Tribolium castaneum: one gene and its partner. Each later gene encodes a partner of the first gene's protein in a complex. Links are inferred from orthologs where the notes say so. Each region holds a gene or a part of one and is shown on either strand. Other genes may lie near its edges.

Evidence for each region. The genes of interacting proteins can lie anywhere in the genome.
Region 2: the proteins of Uba3 (region 1) and APP-BP1 are in contact, whole or in part, in a crystal structure (PDB 3DBR), measured with the Homo sapiens proteins. The link is inferred for Tribolium castaneum from reciprocal best matches to the Homo sapiens genes UBA3 and NAE1. Residues at the interface, in NP_003959.3 of Homo sapiens: Trp34, Glu35, Gly36, Arg37, Trp38, Asn39, His40, Lys43, Phe44, Glu46, Arg47, Ser48, Gly49, Pro50, Phe51, Thr52, Phe56, Glu83, Lys86, Asn87, Leu90, Ser91, Val106, Ser107, Leu109, Asn110, Arg111, Phe113, Leu114, Arg116; in NP_003896.1 of Homo sapiens: Glu10, Gln11, Lys12, Tyr13, Asp14, Arg15, Gln16, Leu17, Arg18, Leu19, Trp20, Asp22, Glu44, Lys47, Asn48, Leu51, Pro52, Gly67, Glu68, Ala70, Gly71, Asn72, Asn73, Phe74, Phe75, Gln77, Arg78, Ile81, Phe92, Glu95.

The regions. Positions count from the first base shown.
Region 1 is NC_087400.1:1,385,640-1,396,465, reverse strand, and holds Uba3 (nedd8-activating enzyme E1 catalytic subunit), read right to left. Parts: upstream 6,086-10,826; 5' UTR 5,967-6,085; coding exon 5,447-5,966; intron 4,400-5,446; coding exon 3,594-4,399; 3' UTR 3,556-3,593; downstream 1-3,555. Other genes in the region: proliferation-associated protein 2G4, read right to left, coding at 17-246, 307-917, 2,581-2,815, 2,951-3,035; coronin-2B, read left to right, coding at 6,307-6,414. UniProt on the Homo sapiens protein: Catalytic subunit of the dimeric UBA3-NAE1 E1 enzyme. E1 activates NEDD8 by first adenylating its C-terminal glycine residue with ATP, thereafter linking this residue to the side chain of the catalytic cysteine, yielding a NEDD8-UBA3 thioester and free AMP.
Region 2 is NC_087394.1:31,697,312-31,708,375, forward strand, and holds APP-BP1 (nedd8-activating enzyme E1 regulatory subunit), read right to left. Parts: upstream 7,054-11,064; 5' UTR 6,922-7,053; coding exon 6,854-6,921; intron 6,804-6,853; coding exon 6,639-6,803; intron 6,592-6,638; coding exon 6,409-6,591; intron 6,362-6,408; coding exon 6,075-6,361; intron 5,278-6,074; coding exon 4,838-5,277; intron 4,791-4,837; coding exon 4,332-4,790; 3' UTR 4,284-4,331; downstream 1-4,283. Other genes in the region: DEF8 (differentially expressed in FDCP 8 homolog), read right to left, coding at 1-572, 800-844, 3,199-3,395, 3,444-3,563, 3,619-3,776, 3,832-3,978; muscle M-line assembly protein unc-89, read left to right, coding at 8,820-9,051, 9,098-11,064. UniProt on the Homo sapiens protein: Regulatory subunit of the dimeric UBA3-NAE1 E1 enzyme. E1 activates NEDD8 by first adenylating its C-terminal glycine residue with ATP, thereafter linking this residue to the side chain of the catalytic cysteine, yielding a NEDD8-UBA3 thioester and free AMP.

The DNA.
Region 1 (10,826 bases):
AAACTAGTATTTGTTTTTAAGCTACAGCTTCGACTTCCATTGGTTGGTCCACTTCACCTTCCGTCTTCCTTTTTTTCTTTTTGGCAGCTTTAGGGTTAGCAGAACTCTTGAGTATCGACTGGACTTGTGGATCGCTGATGGAGTGCTCCGATTTGTACAGTTCGGGGTCGAAAGGCAGCCCTGTGATTTTGTGGGGGCCGTTCGGCATCAACAACACCGTGAACTTGAAATGGGCCACAAATTCGCCTGAAAATGGAAAAAAATCAACGCTAGATAAAAAATTCCATAACAGGGGAAGAAACATACCCGGTTTTTCGTAAAGCACTTGGAACGGTTCTATTAACTTATTTTTGACGCACTCCACCACCCCCATTTTGGCCTTGGTCTCGTCCTGAAAACTCCTCAAGTTGAAGGGCATATTCCCGTGCTTGGTGCGCACTTCGCTGTAAAACATCCTCGAAGCTTTGAGTTTTAACTGATAAGTTTCGTCGGTTTTTTTGTAAATCGAGACACGATTATCGCCCTCTCTGCCCACGCCTTCGCCGGTGCTGATCAGCACGTCCATGGCATACACCTCATGCTTGTCCAGTTCGAACTTTTCGTGCTCTTTCTTCTGCGCTTCGTTCGGGTTTTGAATGATGGTTTTCTCGCCGTCGATTTTGAACTGTTTCAGTTGGTGGCTTAACATGCCCTCGACTGGCTTACATTTGAACGATTCGGCCACTCTTTGAACGGCGTCAGTGATTGTGTATGTTTCGTTGCCGGGCTTTAGTAGTCTTAGAGCGGCTTCGGAAGCATAATGTGCTGCGAGCATTACGTCGGCTTTTCGATCGGTGGCCTTGTGCTCGCTTGAGACACCTAGGATTATCGTGTGGGCCACCACGGCGATGAAACCGTCGATATGCGCGCCCAAATCACTAAAAAAAAGGGGCAAGATAGCACATTAAAAGGCATAACTATTTTTTTTTATAATAATATTACATCAGATCGTATATTTGCAATCACTGATTTCAGTTGGATCAATTGGAGTTAAATAAATCATCATGGAGTTAATTTTTGGAAGCAGGACACAACCAGAGTTCTAATCTTAAAAAAATCATATCTTTTTTATTATAAAAGATACACATTTGAAACACAGACATTATACACAAGGCACTTTTTTTCAGAGAATCTAATAATGTTATCAGCGATTTTTTTCAACCATTCGTTTAACTGTAATAACATAAAGTTGTATTTTTTTAAATTGGAATCATAGTTGGCTGTGAAATTTTCGAAAAACTTATTTTTTTCTGATTTGATATGTCTATTTGTGTAATACATTTATTTTGAATATTTAAGAAAAAACAAAACATTTCGCCTTTTTTATAGTAGGCCATGAAAAAATTTTGGATTTTAAATTAAAACTATGAAAATTGTATTACCCAACAAGTATTTATAATTTAATGATTTTTTAAACGCTAATTAATTCAAAAACAGCCAATAAATTTTTATTATATCAAATTTTTGCAATTAATAAAAATTATTTGTTATTATATTTAAAATGGCAAGCTTACGTTGTCATTCTATTTTCCAATTTTAAACATGAAATGTCGGAAGAAGAAAAATCTTATTAATTGTATGATTGCGTATCAATAAAATTTTATTTTACAAAAAAATGTCAATCCAAACACCAAAATCAAATTCCATCTGCGGTAAAAAAATACACAACATTATCAACGTCACCTCCATTGCACTAAATCATAAAAAAAGTGTCATCTAGTGGTAGTGAGACATCGTTTGCAATTTTCTGCACCTTTTTTATGTAATTAAAATCTGCGACGCTCGTATGTTTGTTCAATTGAAAATAACTTTAACTTATTTTTATAATTTCACATTTTTTACTTTAATAACCGTTCACAAAATTTCTAGATTATTCACACCTTTTATGTGAAATAATTTTTCCATGGCCAACTACTTTCAAATATTTTAAATATATTTTTATCAAAAATATATAAAAATATCAAACTATATTTATATTGTTTTGAGTTCAGAAAAAAATAGGCTTTTCGAAAATGTCATAGCCAACTATGATTCTCATTTTAAAAAAATACAACTTTGTAATTAAGAAAGATTACTGATAACATTATTAAATTCTCTGTAAAAAAGTAATAATGTCTTTGTTTCAAATGTGTATCTTTCACAACAAGGAAGATATGAATTTTTTAATATTTCACTAAAATGTCAACTTTTGTTTATAAGTCGAAAACAAAAGACGATAGCAACACAGTTTTGACCAAAATTATTTTCTCAAAGAACGGACCCGAAAATATGTCACTCGTTTTTCTCTAAACCTAACATCTAACACAATGTGTTAAAAATAAAACATTCAAATTTGCCGCCAATTTTAGTTCATCATACAACAAAAGCTCGGCGCCAGGATCGAACATTTGACAAGAAAATAAAAATAACGTGTTACTTGATTCTCTAAACTTGAATAAGACTGTATGGTACTGTTCCGCAATTTTTGGCGCAAAAACCATTTAATTTAATTTTAACCCTTAAGCTGGTTGTGTCCCATTAGAGATTTTTTTTTTCACTTACACTTTGACCATATCCCCGTCCTTCAGGACATAATCAGACTCACTGGCAATGGGAGAAAAATGGCAAATACAGTTGTTGACCGAGACACACGTCGGGAAGGCAATTCCCTTCTTTAGCTCCTTCTCCTTCTTGAAAACTTTGCTCGTTTCTTCCGTGATAAGCTGGTCTCCGAACTCGCAAATCTCGCGAACTGAGCTGCCTGGCTTACATTTTTCGAGAACTTGTTTCAAAATTCCTGAAAAAAAACTAGTTATGACCGAAACGGGGGCCAACGCTTGCTGGGAGACCACATGGTTGGAGCATATGGCGCTGGGTGAATTTAGCCGAGGGTGTTTTTTTTGGGGGGCTCAAGAGCGACGTTTCAACTTACTGTTAACAATTTCTCCGGCCATTTTATACTTGGTAACGACCAAGTCTTCCGAAATTGTTTTCTCCACATTTTTCTCGTCCGCCATTTCTCGCACTACGAGAACTAGAGAGGAAACGTCATGTGGTTGCACACCTGACGCGCCAGTTTTGAATTTATACTTCCACAAAACGTTTATTGTAACTTTGACGGGGGTTAAATGACCGGGGAATCACTTATGACTACGGTGTGATGCACGATTTTGGACCAAACCGCGGAAAATTATAAAAGTGGCCACCGATCAGGGGAATTTTTTTTTGGGGTGGCCAACTTGTGTGGAGAAACTCCCGGCAAAAACTAAATTTTAATATTTATTTATTCATTCTGATGGTTTTTATCTTCGCCGAGTCATATTTTCTGAGAAAAACGCCCTACGGCCGATTACGGCGAAGCTATAATAAGGCCTAAGTCAAAATTCCGACCAAATTTTAAGCAATAATACCAAAAAAAAGATATAAAGATATAAAGTGTTTTTTTCAATATCAAAATTGATAGAGTGGTTAGAACTTAAAAAAATCAAACAATAAACATTTCAAGGGCCAAAATAACCGTTAAAATGAAACAAAACCCAGTTTGTAATTTTCTTTATTAAAAATAAATAACACAATTACTTCATCTCAACATCGCTCGTTGCAAACTTAAGTGTGAAAACCAACGTCATGGGAGACGTAGCATCTGCGACCATGATATCCATGCCATCCTTAAGCCCCAACTCAACTAAAGTCTTATTTAAATTATCCCTGGTCCTCTCCTCTATACTCTTAATCGTGGAAATGTACAAAGTCTTATTTTTCCCATCAATAACCGTGGTTAAACCTGGATTTTTCATTTGAAACATCTCATCCTCACACAGGATTTTAATCAAATCCTTCAGCTTGACTTTACTCGGATCCTCAATCGGTAGAGTTTGCGGCACTTGGGAGCAAACCACACAATTGTCCCTCCGTTCCGCTGCGTAAGTGTAAGTGTAAATCCCGTCCACGTCATTGAAAACCATGTAATTATTCAACGGTAGACAACAACTCGTTGCGATTTTAAACACTTCTGTGGCGCAAACTCCGGCAATAACGGCGTTAGTTGACGCCACTGCTGGAATAATGTGCTTTACGACGCCTTGAACAAGGCGGTAAGTCACTCCAGGGATATTGAACTGGGACGCCCTTTCCAGGGACTTTTCGTAAACCCAGCCAATGTGCTGGGAGTCGTCTCCGTCCAGGGGCGCATTAAAGGGGTTCTCCTTGGGCCACAAAACCACCTTTACGTATTCAATGCAGTGTTCAGGCAGGCGGGGTGTGTTGGCGATTGTGCACAAAGGGTAGGTGATCTGAGGGGGGTACAAGTCAAGGGTGCACTCAACACAGGCGTTGTTGCCAGGGACTATGACGCGGGCGTTGCCCTTAAAACCCTCAGTACCTGGAAATAAATTATTACTCAATTATATATATTTTTTTAAATTTTGGCGCCACAGCACAGTTCAGATGGCGCTGTAAACAAGAAGAATTATTCGGAAATAAAATTAACTAGACGCCCTCTGGTGATGACTTTTGAACTATGTCGAAGACAGTAAAGAAATTTTCGTAATGCCACATTTAACTGACATTTAATGAATTGTTCAACAATTTTGCGTGTATAGTGTTAATTACTTACAATAGAAAGAATTACTTTAAAAGTACGTGGTGGTAAATACTAGCGTTGACTTTGGTTCTGTAGTTTTTCATGGTATAAAGTGTTTATTGTTGGAACTTGAAAGTGGATAAAAAGTGAAAAATATTTAAATTTTGATTACAAAGTGTTATCAAACAGTTGTCTAATTAAAGATTATAAGTAATAAATCACAGCGAACACAAAGTTTGGCTCAAGAAACCAATAAATTAGTGAAGTGTTATGAATTTTAGATTAGAATTTTCCACTGAAAAAATCATGAAATGCTGCAGTAAATGTACAAAACTACAATAAAGATTAACAACTGCTGATACATTTAAACGTAAATTATGCCAAAAGGTAGGTTTTTCAATGTCTTTGTAATAATTTTCCAATAAAGAAAGTGAACCAAACAGTCATTCGTTATTCGTGTTTTCCTCGTCATCTCTCATTTGTCAACATAAGTTTCTTGCATCAAAGATGCAATAATCATTCCGCATAGGCAATGGAATAATTGTGAAGCCCCAAAATTCGTACAACGCTCAAAATATCCGAATAAACATTTTCCCGCCATTTATGGTTACTGTTTTCGACCTAGCTCAGTGGCGCCCCCAACGGTAATTTTATTTCCGAATAGTTTGTTAGATAAAGATAAATGTCAATAAAAATATCAAAATGGAAAAAAAACTAAAATAACACAATTTTTTGTGAGAGAAATAACTTTAGCGTCTGAAACAAGAAGGCGCTGATATTTTGAAACAGCGCCATCTGCGAAAAAAGGCGCGTTTTTTGTCTCAGCCCCCACGTTTCGGCACAAACCTCCATCCACCAATGGAATAATGGTCGAATTATCCAGCACCCCATCCTCGTAGCTCAAGAGCGACAAAATCATGCCATTAATCCACCTCCTGGCCACGATCGAGTCCAACCCGCACACCATAATGTGAAAACTCCGATAAAAACTCTCATCGTAGTCTTGTATTTTGCAAAAATGGGGCGTCACCTGGCACCCAGGCACGCGCTTGTTGATGAAAGCCGCCGCCACTTTGGCCTTGGACTGCCCAATGTCCTTCTGTCTGAACAGAAACTGGCGGTTCAAATTCGACAAGTCGATCGTGTCCATGTCGATGACGTGGATCTGCTTGAACCCCATCAAAGCCAAGTCCTTCAACAGTTCGCAGCCCAGGCCCCCGGCCCCCACGACAAGCACCTTGCAGGAGGTTACGATAAAATCCATGATTTCGGGTGACGGCTCGAACTCCGGGTGGCAAAAGGGGCCCGGACGCTCCAGCACCTTGCGCAGGTGCCCCCAGCGCTTCTGTTCTTGCGTTTCGCTCATTTTTAACCGTTTTTAAAATTGGAACTGTCAGAAAGGAAGTGACTAACGCGCCAACTCGTTTAGTTATTTCACGCAAAAAGCCAGGCACAAAGGCAGGAATTTTAATTACGTACTAATTATGCACTGCAATTGGTGCTAATTATAATTATTATTCTCCTCAATGCCATAAAATAGTCGGAAATAAGTTAAAGATCGTAGCGTTAGCCACTTCGTGACGTAACAACGCGTTGATCGCTGTCAAACAAATGTCAAAAAAGTTACGTTGTGATTTATTGTTTTATTGAATTTTTTATTTAAAATCAGTACAAAATTGTTGGGTTTTTTATGTAATTCATTTATTATGACTGGAGAAACGGAAAGCAATGTTGGGAATTCTCTGTTGCCAGCAACCGGAGATAAAATAATTAATTTTGTGGATAACCGCTCTTGCAGCAAACCCTCAAAAAGGGTAAGATTTTTTTTAATTACTACTATTAGCCCGGTTTTGGGACGTTATCAGGTGTTACATGTGTGGTAGGTAATTAAATTGATTATTTAATGTAAATATTTAATCACAAATGGAAAACTGTCGTTATGTTATACAGAGTGGTCAAGAGTCACTGTTTGAGTTGGCAGGCCTGTGGTCACACTGGCTTGTTTGACGTTTGCAATGTCAACGTTTCAAATATCCACCTTTTGGTCGAAAACGGTGTTTTTAAATTAAACCACGTTTTTTTCTGAAAAAATCTTTTTACTCTTTTTTTATTCTTTTAATTTTTGAAAATTTTTTTTTGTTCAATTGTCAATATATTTTTTATTTTATTAAATTTATCGATTTGTATAAAAAACTGACTCGAGACCAATAAATTTGTAGATAGCAATGGTGTTACGGTAAAGCACGTTCAAAGTAGATTTCTATCTTCAAAATTACCCAACCTCTAATTTGACATGAATGATGTTTTTTATAATTAATGTAGTTATTTGCTCGTATTTTAGATGATTTCACACTTTTTTATCATTGTTTACAATTTTTAATAATTATTTTGGACTATGGAGAACTATATACTAGGAGGCGAAACAATGGAAAATAACTCGATTTTTTGTTCTAAAAATTTTGACCTCACGTTGTATTAAATGAATTAAAGTTAACTATAAATCACTAATTGCTTGAAAAATAAGCATTAAGTTTTTAATAATGGAACTAAAATTTTAACGAAAAATATATTTTTGAAAAAAAAATTGTCAATATATTTTTTATTTTATTAAATTTATTGATTTGTATAAAAAACTGACTCGAGACCAATAAATTTGTAGATAGTAATGGTGTTACGGTAAAGCACGTTCAAAGTAGATTTCTATCTTCAAAATTACCCAACTTCTGATTTGAAATGAATGAAGTTTTTTTTTATTAATGTAGTTATTTGCTCGTATTTTAGATGATTTCACACTTTTTTATCATTGTTTACAATTTTTAATAATTATTTTGGACTATGGAGAACTATATACTAGGAGGCGAAACAATGGAAAATAACTCGATTTTTTGTTCTAAAAATTTTGACCTCACCTTGTATTAAATGAATTAAAGTTAACTATAAATCACTAATTGCTTGAAAAATAAGCATTAAGTTTTTAATAATGGAACTAAAATTTTAACGAAAAATATATTTTTGAAAAAAAAATTGTCAATATATTTTTTATTTTTTTATTTGCTGATTTGTATAAAAAACTGACTCGAGACCAATAAATTTGTAGATAGTAATGGTGTTACGGTAAAGCACGTTCAAAGTAGATTTCTATCTTCAAAATTACTCAACTTCTGATTTGAAATGAATGAAGTTTTTTTTTTATTAATGTAGTTATTTGCTCGTATTTTAGATGATTTCACACTTTTTTATCATTGTTTACAATTTTTAATAATTATTTTGGACTATGGAGAACTATATACTAGGAGGCGAAACAATGGAAAATAACTCGATTTTTTGTTCTAAAAATTTTGACCTCACCTTGTATTAAATGAACTAAAGTTAACTATAAATCACTAATTGCTTGAAAAATAAGCATTAAGTTTTTAATAATGGAACTAAAATTTTAACGAAAAATATATTTTTGAAAAAAAAATTGTCAATATATTTTTTATTTTATTAAATTTATTGATTTGTATAAAAACTGACTCGAGACCAATAAATTTGTAGATAGCAATGGTGTTACGGTAAAGCACGTTCAAAGTAGATTTCTATCTTCAAAATTACCCAACTTCTAATTTGATATGAATGAAGTTTTTTTTTATTAATGTAGTTATTTGCTCGTATTTTAGATGATTTCACACTTTTTTATCATTGTTTACAATATTTAATAATTATTTTGGACTATGGAGAACTATATACTAGGAGGCGAAACAATGGAAAATAACTCGATTTTTTGTTCTAAAAATTTTGACCTCACCTTGTATTAAATGAATTAAAGTTAACTATAAATCACTAATTGCTTGAAAAATAAGCATTAAGTTTTTAATAATGGAACTAAAATTTTAACGAAAAATATATTTTTGAAAAAAAAATTGTCAATATATTTTTTATTTTATTAAATTGATTGATTTGTATAAAAACTGACTCGAGACCAATAAATTTGTAAACAGTAATGGTGTTACGGTAAAACACGTTCAAAATAGATTTCTATCTTCAAAATTACCCAACCTCTAATTTGATATGAATATGGAATTAGTTGCACACTCTGAAGCATATCAGATTTTTTTACGTAAAAAAAGTCGAAATACCCATTTCCATTGTGTAACTGTGCATACCAATTTTTTTACACTTGGCCAAATCCTTGTTATTGCCACTTCCTAAGGCACACTAAAAATGCACAATTCTGCACAGTTTTCTATTTGAAAGTACTAAGTGCAAGTAAATTCGATGGAGAAAGGGATGTTCTGTCAATTAAGACTCGTTTTAATTAGTTCAGTCGTTGAAAAGCACCTGTTCTAGTTGTTTATAGCGTGCACGGCTTGTCAGCAGCGCTTTCAGTTCAGTGATTGATTATTTGTTTGTGAATGAGAGAGAATCTGCTTCTGATGGCTTAGTTTATTTTTTTAATTTTTTTTTGTTTTTGCTTTTGGTGTTTTTACTTTCTGTGTTTTCCAGTCTTCTTTATTGTGGTGGTGTCTTGCATGAAACGCTGCCAAGAGACTGAATTTGTTCTTCTGAAGCTTTTTTTTTGGATGTTACGATGACAAACTCACAGGTAAGGGATTTAAACGACTTTGTCCAATTTCTTACATAACTCGATTTATTGAGAATATGGAAAGTAGGTCTTATGGTATTATGGAATAAATTATTGGAATAATTGGAATTCATAAAATTTGTAAATTAGATAAAAAGTGAAAATGCACGAAACCTTCATAACCATTATTTTGAAAGGATTTAAATTAAAATACAGACAAGGGAGTGAGTTAGTTTTCACACGTCTTTCTCTCGTCCAATTTTTATTGTTAAATTAATTAATTAATACAGAGAGGAGAGAAAACATGGAACAAATATATTTGAAACAATCTTTATCTGTTCTTGTTTGTTTCAATTTTTCTATTGCATCTTGACCTCGGTCACATTCTTGCAATTATTTTATCGGAAATTGTAAAAACCGCATAATCAGTGAGAACATTCTCAAGCTCAAGATGTGTTTAATTATATTATTATTATTATTATTTGTGCATTTTCTTTGAATGGAATTCGATCAGAGAAATAGTTACGTAATTGCGTTATTATCTGTCTCCACTTGGCGTTATTTTAAAATAAAAATAGATGTTTTCCTTATTACATATAATATATTAATTAGCAAGTGTAATAAAAGTACTGAGTCATAACATACGGTTCGTAACAGCGTTCGTTTATCTTCAAGCGTTTTAAAGACAACAACCAACCGCACCTCATTTTATGTATACTTGTGACAAATTTTTTATCACTTGTATTGACATTGATAAGAGAAGTGATAATAATTTATTAGAATAAATGTCTTAATTAGACCACATGGTGGATCGATGCGTTACGTTTGGTGTTTGGGAGTGAATTATGTTTGCAAAAAATTTAAAAATCTACGAAATGACAACAAACAAGGTATGTGTCGTTTTTAAGTGTTGTTTTGTCACAACAAAGTTATTTTTGGCGAGTTTGGTTCGATTACTGGACGAAAAAACCTTGGATTCATAATTAGTATTAATGTAGTTGTGATGTCATTCAAGAGTCCATGTTTTAGATTTATTCATGTTTTGCATAAAAATTCGACTATTATACGCAACCTACAATTACTTAGGGACTTTGACTTTTCGAAACACTTAATTTGTTCGCGAGATTTTTGACATAAATAATTTGAAAAATCTTTAAGCTGGATCCAAAATAATGTAATTTTTAATGTTCAGCACGTTTTTGAGCTTACTATCCAGTTTTTTTTGTGATTTCTCGCATTTTAAATTTTTCGATCTTTTTTTATTCAAAAATTCAATCATTTCACAAGATTTCGACAAAAGTAAGTCGAGAAATCGTCGAAATTGTTGTTATTTCTTGCGTTCGTTGAATATTTACAAGTTTTTTGAGCTAAAAACTCCATTCTTTGAATTTATTTAAAAAAAATATTTTTGAAGAACAACTATAGGTAAATAAATTTAAAATAATAATTTTTGGCTTAAATATAACGTTCAAAAACGTTTTTGAGCTCAATGTTTTTGCACGATTTCGCTGAACTGGGCTTTTTTCCCAAATATTCAATAATTTTACGAAATTTCGTAAAAGACTAAAATTTTTGGCCAGATTACGTTAAACCAGAAGGAAAGAGTCATTGGATATTTAAAAAATTACCTTATTTTTGGCTCTTTCCAGCGTTTCTGCACGT
Region 2 (11,064 bases), on another chromosome or scaffold:
ATGCAGGACGGCATTACACTCCGAGCAAATCACAGCCGCGGCATCGAAAGGAAACAAAACTTCGTCATTTGAGCAAATCTCGCACAAATGTCCTCTCCCCCGACAAACCTCACACTTCACCTTGATATGTTTACTAAACACATCGATGATTGTGTGAAGTTTCGTCGGCAGCTCCCCTGAATGCGTATCCACCAGGTCCTGCAAGCTGTACAGTTCTGGCGTTTCAATTAAATGCGGCACATCCACGTGTTTCCACAACAAATGGTCTTCATTAGCGTTTCGACAAACTGAGAGATATTTCCTCATTCCGTGTAATTCTTGCCGCAAACGGCGCACTAAACTCAGCTCATGGACGAGCGAAAATAAGCGTGGGTTCAGTTTTTCTAAATTTAAAAGCGGGCGATTTGCTGTTACGCGGAGTTGCTGCAGACTTGCCTGGCACACGGGCTGGGGGGCGAGGTCCCAGTTGTGCACCACGCGGGCGGGGACCACGGCTGAGCTGCCCCAGTGGCAGGCCGTGCAGTAGTAAAGGCCGGAGTAGTCGCATTTGCGGGCTTCGGACCAGTCTTTGTCTTTTGAAAAAATTAAATGCTAGTTTTTGAGTTAATTATTTGGCGGTTTGCGTGAAAGTGAGCGCAGATTATGTTGTTAGGTCCGTTTCACACGCTGTGACAAGAATTGCTCGTGTGGTATTGAAACAGAAAACTCAATTTTAATCTTGTTAGCTTGTTACATTTATGGAAGGAATTTAGTCACAGGGTGTGAGATGGTGTTAGTGCCTCAAAAAGCTGGGTTTTACCTGGAAAGAGTAATCTACCGAGACAGCTTATTCCTTTTGGAGCAGCTAGCACAGTATAAATTATTAATTAATACTCCGACTTTATTCGCACCAAAAAAGCACACTTTCATTTTTAATTTAACAAGCTGGCTAATACGCAATCATTTAGCTAGCGCTTGCTTAATAAAATGATACAGAAAATCGATAAAATACAATCATACAATTTATTAATAACGCAAGTTTTACCAAAAGTAAATCTCCCTAGTCATACTGATTTTTTTCTGAATTATTTCTACAAAAAAAAATAGAACAAAATATTGCCAAGTGATTCGTACTGTTTTAAACGAACGAACGGAACACAATTTCATTCCATTTTTAAAGTGAGAACTTTGATATTAAGATAGTAAAAAGTTTAAAAGGTTTTGAAAAATTTAATTGTAAGTCCATTTTGATAAAACAATGCCCTGGCCTTTGCTTAATTAATTCACAAAAACTATGGGAACATCCGAACTAAATACAATTTTGATTTGGTGGTTAAAACTGGGCATTTTTTTATGTTATTATTCTCAAAAGTTGAAACTACATACAGATAATAATTCATTTTTGTTTCAAATTATGGCTCCTTAACAACACCTATGTATATCATCAGTAAAATAATGTTCAAATAGCAAATTATACAATGATTTTTGAAAAAGGTGAGGCTTGAAAGAGGACAAATATCTACATAGAAATTATAATAAATTTAAATGGAAAAATGTGCGACAATGGTGATTTTAAGATTGATTTTATTTAGTTTTTTCTTTGGATAAAATTAAAAAAAAAATTTTGTAAGCAATTTTTCAACATGATGAAATTCCTTTAAACTCTGTATTGTCAATCTTCTAACATTCTTTTGGTTCTAATTAGAACAACTCTAATGGTATACGTAACTGAGGCAGTAAGTAGCTGCAAATTAAATTTCGCTTTTCAGTTTTCTTAAAGTAAACTAATAGAATTTTGTTAATTTGGGAGTTGGACAATATTCCTTTTTTTTCCTTATTATCTAATGAGTTATCGAATACGCTAGAACACTGTTACATACAATTTGAAAATAAAACACAAAAATATTTAATAAATGAAGAAATCTGGAAATCTACCGGTATTTTTAATATAAAAATAATGTTTAGTTTAAACATTTAATTTTGACCTTACGTTTAGTAAAGTTTATGAAATTTTCAAACAACTTAAATTTTTGTAATTTTTTTAATTCACTAACAGTTTTAATTAAATAACAAAAAATACGGTAACTACACTATACATTCTAGTAAAATGCTTTGTAATATAACATAACATACCTCAAATGTATTATTTTCTTAAAAAACTAGCTAGAAAATTTGGTTTAGAAATCCCCTACACACTACACTAACCCTGTATATTGTTGGAAATTGAAAATTAACAGCTAATAATTAAAAGTTTGTTGTTTTTATGTAATAATTGAAAAAAAAGGTTCAATTAGGTAATAAAGTAGAATAAAGTCATTTGGTACGAAACAATGTTCGTAAAATCTTGAAGTGATTACTAATTTATTAATTTATTATATAAATTATGCATTTTTGGCAAAAATAGTACGTCTTCTTTCTTTCAAAAAATGTTATGTAAGGGTTGATAGGTGATATAGAAATTGCCAGTAGGATTGAAAAAATTAGATATACTTACGTCTTTGTTCACATTTTTGCAGCAATTATTTACCATTATAATAGATATTATTTTTAGAAAACGATGATTTATTTAGATTATATTTATTTGTTTATAATTTGTTTATTTTTATTCAGTTTGTTACTTAATATTTTATAAACCTTTTATAGACTAATTAAATAAAATATAAATCAGCATTTTTTTGACTAAAAACAGAATTACAGTGATCAGTGTGTACAGAAGTTTTTCAAGTGCCTAATAGACATTTAGATGTACATTTTTCCAATACGAAAAGAATTCTGTTACAAGGATCCGGTATAAAAAGTTGGTATTCAATATTTTTTTCAGAAAATCAATATTAAATTTGTACTATTTTTAACTACCTAATTTAATGACACTTTGTACTGCTTTTGCTTTTTTTATTGCAACAGATCCATTTTAATGAAGTTAAAAGAACTAGCTATAAACAGTAGCTGAAGCAGATGAATGAACTTCAAATATGCAAGAATTATCTCCACCTTACCAAATCGTAACAATAGATATTCTTGTAAATCAAGCAGACACAAACCTTTTAGTTATTTTAATTGCAAAATTCTCACGTTAAAATTAGGAATTGTATCACAGAAAAAATTGCATAATTGCTATAAAATTTGGTGGCCTTTTGGCACATTTCGTTACTTTTCATTTTGAAATAAGCCGAAGCCTCCTCAATTTATTAGGTCTAACACAAACTTCTGGGTACTTACTTATGGGGAGAGGTGACTGGCACTCGGCGCACAGATACTTTTGAGCTGATAAACCTTCTTCTGGGCAAATTTCCAACTCATATCCTCCCCTTTCACTGGCAACGACATGAGCACATTCTCTTATTATTTGCGATATGCATTTATAATGACACGCATAACCACAGTCCTCACACTCATACCAAGCTTGCACCAAACTCCTAAACAAATCATGTATTTAACTCAATTAACTGTTTGTAGTATTTTACCAAATTGTGCCAGTACAATGATCACAATACTTTGTGGAAGTACTCAGAAGTGGCTGCAAGTTTAAATGGTGCCCTCGCACTGTTCTCCTCGACACACCACTGCTTTTATTCCGTGGATGTCTGCAATAACAAACGTTACTTGAAATTGTGATACAACAAATTATGCAATAATCACAGTGGATCCTCCATCGCTTCCCTACATTCTTGTAGCCTCAAACGTAGTTCTATGAGGTGCCTCACGAGCCACTTGCGTTCCAATGAACACTGATTGCTCTCCAAAACCAAGTCCTTACATCGCGTGATAGCCTTTAACAACTCTTCCTCTGTGGCTTCCTACAGTTTCAAGTATTAGGAAAACTACTGGCAATAACCAGTGATAACCTTTAACCTTGTTTAAAGCCAATTGCAACTCTTCCGCCGCTAGACTTGAAGGCAGGAGCCTATCGTCTGAACCTTCGTCATTCGATAAACAACCCGACGTTGTAGACGACGGCGTTGAGGCTAAAATTCTGCTGTTTTCCCCTACTTCGCACATTGTTTACATATTATTTTAATGCGAATATGTTAAGATAATTAATGTTCAGATTAAACAGGTTGATGACTTGTGACTTGTTTGACAACTTTGGATTTGTGAGGTTAGGTCCGCATAACCTCAGATATGCCTCCAATTTTGTTCTTTTGTGTTTTGCAACAACTGTATAACAATAAACAGAACTATCTGATAAAACCGTGACTTGTAGCAAAATTATTCTTTAATTGCAGCTATAATTAACCGATTACGACTAGTAGTAAAAATTTGAGGTTAAGTTGCCATTCTTGTCTTGAATAATTACACCAAAAAGCGTTTTAAAAACTTTACTCTTAGTAACCTAATAACAAATCAACCACTTAAAGAGTAAACGAGGCAGAAGTTGAGGTAATTGCATCGTAAATAAAGGTGTTGTTTAGTGGCTTATACTGCAGAGTTATAAGTTTGATGGCTTCATGAGCCGCACATCCGCCCAAAATAGCCGAGACTGAGTGCAGTTCAGCGCCCCCGTAGCGACAAACTTCGTGTACCCTCTCATCTCTGATTATCTGTGAACAACCCCACTCTCCTAACAACTTCCCAATAATGCCCTTCAATTTAAGCACATCAGGCTCCACATGGTCATCCAATTGCCCTGGATAACTATTAAATTCACTGATAAAGCGCTCTAGCCCTCTTAGAGTTATGTAATGGAACATCAAACTATCAGGATCCTCAAGACATGACGTTAGATCTACTCTAGTTTTTTGATATTCATCAGCAATGCAACTGCCACGAATCACATGTAACTCACTCGCATGCTTGCAAAATAGCTTAGCCTGAAACCAAGAATTCAATACAGAAAAACACTAAAACAGGAAATTACTTCAGATTCGGTTATGGTCTCTTGAGAGAGGCCCAAATTTCGCGCAATTTCTAACGCCCTCCTGTAGATAATTTCACACTGGGTTTGAGCCTGTTTTTGGTAGAGTTGTTGCAACGTGATGTAGCTACTGGTGTCAGCTGCCATATCTGGTAAAGTCCCTTTCAAAGGGGGCGCCCCTTCTTTTTCAACAAATTCCTTCAAGGCCGCACATAAAACCCAAAAAGGTGAACTGTTCTGGTTCACATTTATGCAGCTATCGTCCTCCAGAATTGCTTGCAAATTTGGGGGAATCTTGATGGGGTTAATACAAGTATTAATGTAGCGAATAGCCTCTTTAAAATTCTCCTCCAAGTTCTTAATTCCGTGTTCATCAGGCGGGGGGCTTTCCGTTATCATTTTTTTAACTTCTTCCTTTTCGGCTCGAGTTTTCGGTAAATGGCCTAACAATTAAGTTTTGTATACAGAATGCTCAAAAACGTGGGCACCAACTCAATAAAAAATTGGACTATTTAAATTTATTTCAACCAAACAAGAAAAAATTAACGCTTTCAGGAAGTTTAGGACATTTATAAGTGAAAAATTGTAGAAAGTATTTTGGAAGAATACAACAATATTTTTACTAGTTTAGTTGAAACAAATTGAATAAAAAAATTATTAAAGCCCTAAAGAATGATTTTTGATTCTTCATCTTTTCACGACCGCAAGCCCTTGTGACAAGCTTTATTTTCTGCGAAAATCAAGAAAATCGCTACGTGGAAAGACAAATAAAAAATTTAATTTATGTTATCAAGGTATTTAAGGTCCCAAGGAGCGATTCTTCTGTTGAAAACTTTTTTAACAAGCTTTGTTTGTTTTTTATTTTATAGAAAAATTGAATGTTTGACTTTATTCACTTTAAAAAACAGTTTTGATGTTGTCAATGAGACGATCGAGAAGTCCCAAGGTTTATACAATTTTTTTTAATTCAAGTACTGTTAGAATTTTTCAGTAGACATACAAACTTATAAGAAAATAAGTCAGAATTTTTGCAGTACCACTGAGTTGGTACGTGACTTGAGCACCCTGTATAGAATCTTTCATGGTTTCAAGTAACTCTATCAGAGTGGCCTATGACTTAAAAATTAAGTTGGCAGCATAACTAACAAATGCACATCGTTAGTATGGTCATCTGACAAAACCTAACAACAGCATTGCCAACTTTGTTTCAAAATTACGGCCACTTTGACCAGAAATTTACCGTGTTTGCTTTTAAACTGCGCCAAATAATAGTACAGAATAACCACCGCAGGCACATGACTGCGTTCCTTGTTGTCTAGTTTGGTTACATCAACTTTATCCAAATGTTCTTTAAGTGCAGGCCATGGATTATCTAAGCGTAAATCATGATTTTCGTTATCAGGGTGGGCTTCTATTATGGTGTGTTCTTTGACTTGTATTCTTATGTAGCCCAGAAAGCCCACACTGCGGCATACAATAAGTGGTACATTTTTTTCCCATAAGTGTCTAGAGAGCGGCATTAAAACTCTAAAATTTGATCAATTATTTCCTGACGTCATTTCTATTGATTTTACTTTTCTGGCAAACACGTTGCAATTACGACAGAAAACGTGTCAAAAAAATCTTGACTGTGGGCCATAATGTGGTCAACGGACTCGTCAATGTAGTCCCCTCTAACATCAGGGTTCAGCTCAAGTAGGTTTTGAGTGGCTACCTGTGCTCTAGACATCCCTATTGAATCACTCTCGATAAAAAAGCTAAAACAACTGATTCAGACAACGTTCCTTAATTTTAAAACTCCTACTTTGAACCAATATCATCATCAGTTACTTTTTCACCATCAACAATCGTGAAGGAACCAATGCCAGGCAAAACCAAACTTTTGAGAATTTCCGTACCCAAAGCGGTGGCGTTAATTAGACAAATCTTTGAGTTTTCGAGAAATTTCTGACCGTGATCGCCCCATAATCTATAATTTTCGTTTATTTTTTGAAAAATGACTGGTCAATGTTGACTAACCTCAACTGCCGGTCGTATTTTTTGCTCTTTTCGCTTTGTTCCGGCGACTTTGGCGCGGGAGATGACATTATCGATTAAAAACTTAAAACAAGGCTTTTTATGTGTTACACAACAATAACTTCTTGTAAAATTTAAAAAACTGTCGGCCTTTTTCACTCCAAATGTCAGCTTTCAATGCCGGCAATTTGCACTAGTTTTGGAAATAAAAATCACTAAAATATGTATTAGAAGTGAAAAATTTCTAGATTGGAAACATTACGCAATAAAATTATACTTGTAGGATTACGTTAATATTTCATTGCATTATATTCCTAAACAACTATGCTAATTTAAAGTAAGTTTATTTTGCTGTTAGGCCGCAAAATAAATGATTTAATTAACAAATTTGATACAGTTTGCGCTCTATATTTTACAGATCAATGGAGAGGTAAACCGTTGCAAAACGATGATTGCCGAAGAAAATTAAAAGGGCGACATCTGCGATTCTTGGGACATGCAAGTCCTTACACGTGAAATTGTGTTTTAATTTTATTCGGTGTTAAAGTGTTAAATTTTTATTGTATTTGCTATCGCGATAAAGTCAGTGTTTCCAAGTTCGTATTCTGTTCATTATCAGGTATGTCATTTTTTTATTATAGGGTTTCATTTACAAGTACTGGTTCCGGCACCGGTTTAAAAAAAAACGGTTTATCTTCGTTCAAAAAACCTTTTTGTCTGTTTCTTCTTTTTAATCAAGGTAGCATGAAATCTGGGCAATATTAAATAAATCAGCACTCTAGATAATTGTGCATAGGAGTTCATTCCACATAGGGGAGATGGAGGATAGTTGGTTAAAATTTTAGAGAACATCTAAAAAACACGTGGTCTCGATTTCAAAGAAGCTTTTTATTAACAAGGGACACAAACTGAATCAGTTTTCTTGCCTTGTCTTGCATCATTTGCAGAATTAAGCCTTTTTGCTGAATTTTGCTCCTATAAAATTTTCAGATTTTCACTTCATGTTTCTTTGTTTCTAACGGATATGTTTGAAATAATACATTTCTTACTTATATAAACGAAAAAGCCACTACAACAATTGATTTATTTCAAATTGCAGAAATAAATAGCAAGGCACAAAGGTTAATTTTTCTGTATTCTTTGTAATTTTATTAATTTTTTTTCAATTTCGCATTTAATTTTAATTTACCAATTACCTGTTTTTTAACACAATTTTATTAAAAAAAAAACAATGCTACAAAACGTTACTTTATAGTATTGTTTTTGGTATTTTTTATGTGGTACTGTTACCAGTTCTGATTGCATTCAGTCAAATAATTAACAAACCAAGCTTTAACAGGGCACGGAATTTTTAAAATTCAGTTAAATCACGTTTTGAAGTTGGAAAATGTTGATAAAAGTGGTGTGTTTTACGTAATTTTTATTTCCCAAGCGTGATATATGAATTACCAACGGAAAAAAAACCTTTGATGAAACCTAATTTAAAGATTTTGAAATATTAGCAAAAATAGTAGATTTTTTTGTTCTTTTGTAATTCTTTAACTCCTACAGTTTTGCTTAATTTTTGTCTTGCTGAAACATTTATCTGATAAGTAAAGGGGTGGTTTTTATTAAACAAAAATCTTAAAATTGTGGTTTGTTCTGGCTCTTGGGTTTAAAGGTGTTTCCATTTAAAAATATCAATTGAAAAACTACCTAGTATATTATTATATTTTCGGTTCACTTTCATAAAAACCATTGTGGTGGAATTGACTAACCCGTTACCATGACAACTCAAAGTTAATGCCAAGAGTACCCAATTTCCACCACAGTGGTTTTTATGAAAGTGAACCGAATATATGTAGTATATATTATTATTATTATTATTATTATTATTATTTATAAAAAATATTGAACCTTCTTTTATTGAAATAAACAAATCTCAGACCAATTTGTTTGTATTTTTACAAAACTGCAATATCTAGCCACGATGCCGCGAAAAACTCCAGTCAAAGAACTCCAAAAGGAAGAACCAGTGGTCAGTTCCCCTCTCCGAAGATCAACTCGATTAAGTACCAGTTCACCAGTTCCAACGAAAGTCATAACTAGAAGAAATTCAGCTAGTGAAGCAACAACTTCAACTCCGAAAGCAACTAGAGGTAGACGTTCTTCGTTTAGTCAGGAATTGGAATCAAACAAGGAAAAATCAATAACTAGAAAAGGTATCTAAGTATTCTGTTAATTCGTTTTTTAATTTTTTTTATTCAGGTTCTGCATCATCAAGTGTTGAAAATGACGAAAAGCCAGTTGCAAGACCTACAACTCGAAGCTCTTCTGTTACAAAAGAAATAACGACAGAAGTCAAAAGAACAACAAGACGTCGAAGATCCGTTACTGATGATGCAGATGTTGTTGAAGATGAGCCCACAACAAGAAGGACTCGTTCTCTGTCACAGAATAACAGCGTCGATGATTTGAAACTTTCAACTAGAAAACAGTCCTTGAAGACATCTGAAATACCTGTTGCTACTCCAACAAAAAAATCGCCTTCCAATGAACCCGTCAACACAAATTTGGAGTCAATTGCCGAAGATGAACATTCAGAAGAGGATGAACCAGTTACAATAAAAAAGAACTTGAAGCCTGAAAGTACTAAATTAGACCTTGATTTGAGCGTCATCAACGAGGCTAGTTTAACAGAAGAAGATCCAAGTCCAGAGAAAAAACGAAAAACTGAAGAAAAAGAACAAAACAAAGTCTTGAATGTGTCTCAGGAAAAATCCGAGGAACCAACAGCCACCAAAGAAACAACTCCTGTTAAAGGAACCGGAGAAAGCGACAAGTTTGAGACGGATTCTGACCATTCATTCACTCTGCAGCTTTCCGTGTGTGAAAACAGCGATAAAAACGAAACAAATACCGATCCCAGCAACAAGGAAAACGTCAATCCTAAAACCCCATCTCAAGACATGGATTTTGAACCGATGGATGTTGATGACGCAGAAATTGACTGCTTATTTACCGAAGCTCAGGGGAAGTTTAACAGTTCGGAAAATCTTTCACGCGAAAATGAACCACTTTCTGATGCAAAAAAAGCCGAAAACCTTGCTGAAGCCAAGAAGGAATTGAACGATTCAGTTATGGAACAAGAAAAAATTAACAGCCCAGTGAAGAAAGAACTGAACAAGTCAAAAATTAACACACCTGTGACGAAACAATTGAATGAATCAAGCACTGAAAAAGAAAAAATTATCACCCCAGTGAAGAAAATCGATACTCCTGTTAAGCAAGCCCATGAAACTAAGTTAGAAACTGTTGCACTGGAAGAAAAAATCTCTCCTAAAGAGGTACCGAAAGTTAACGGTGTTGAAGCAATGGAAGAAATTTCTCCAACTACAGAACTACAGAATCAATTAATGAAAGAGAGTCCTGATAAAGAATCCAGCAAACAGGCTGTTGTTATGCTTGAAGATATAGGACTTCACCCAGAGAAAAAAAATACCACTCCAGCCAAGCAGGCTGTTGTTATGCTTGAAGAACTGACACCAAAAGAGAAAGTGTCCAAAAAGTCACTAGAAACACCGGCTAGAAGAAGTCCTAGAATCAATTCGCCACTCGAAAAAATGGACAAAATGCTCACACCTAACAAACAGACAAGTCCTGTCAGGAAAACACCTACAGAAAATAAGGAAAGTCCTGAAAATAAAGTGAATGATAAATCCGCTGCTAGTCCCAGAATCGACTCTCCTAAAAGTAAAAAAATAAACACACCCGTGAAACCACTTGAACAGGAAGGACAAAAGGGAAGGAGTCCATCTCCCAAGAAAACACCCATAAAAAGTAAAGTAACTCCCGAAAAGGGTTCTGCTCCAGAAAGTGTCACAAAAGAAGAACGTTCTCTGAAGGCAACTCCAAATAAAGAATCAGGGGACGATATCAGTGATAGTTCAGTTACACCAGGAAAACCAAATGTTTCAGAGAAGGAAAATTCCCTTGTGAACGAAAAGCCTGATGGTTGTGATCAATCGTTTAAATCAGACATCACCGATAAAGAAGCTGAGAATGAAACCGAAAAATCTCAAGAAGTGATTGAAAACAAGCAAGTGACTCCAAGCAAGGAACAAGAATTTGAAGCCGAGTCAGAATCTGAAGAGGACTACGCGTCACCAGTGAAAAAAATGCGACAGTACAACAGCGTGAGCGACGATGAAGTGTTTACATCAAAAAATAAAAGT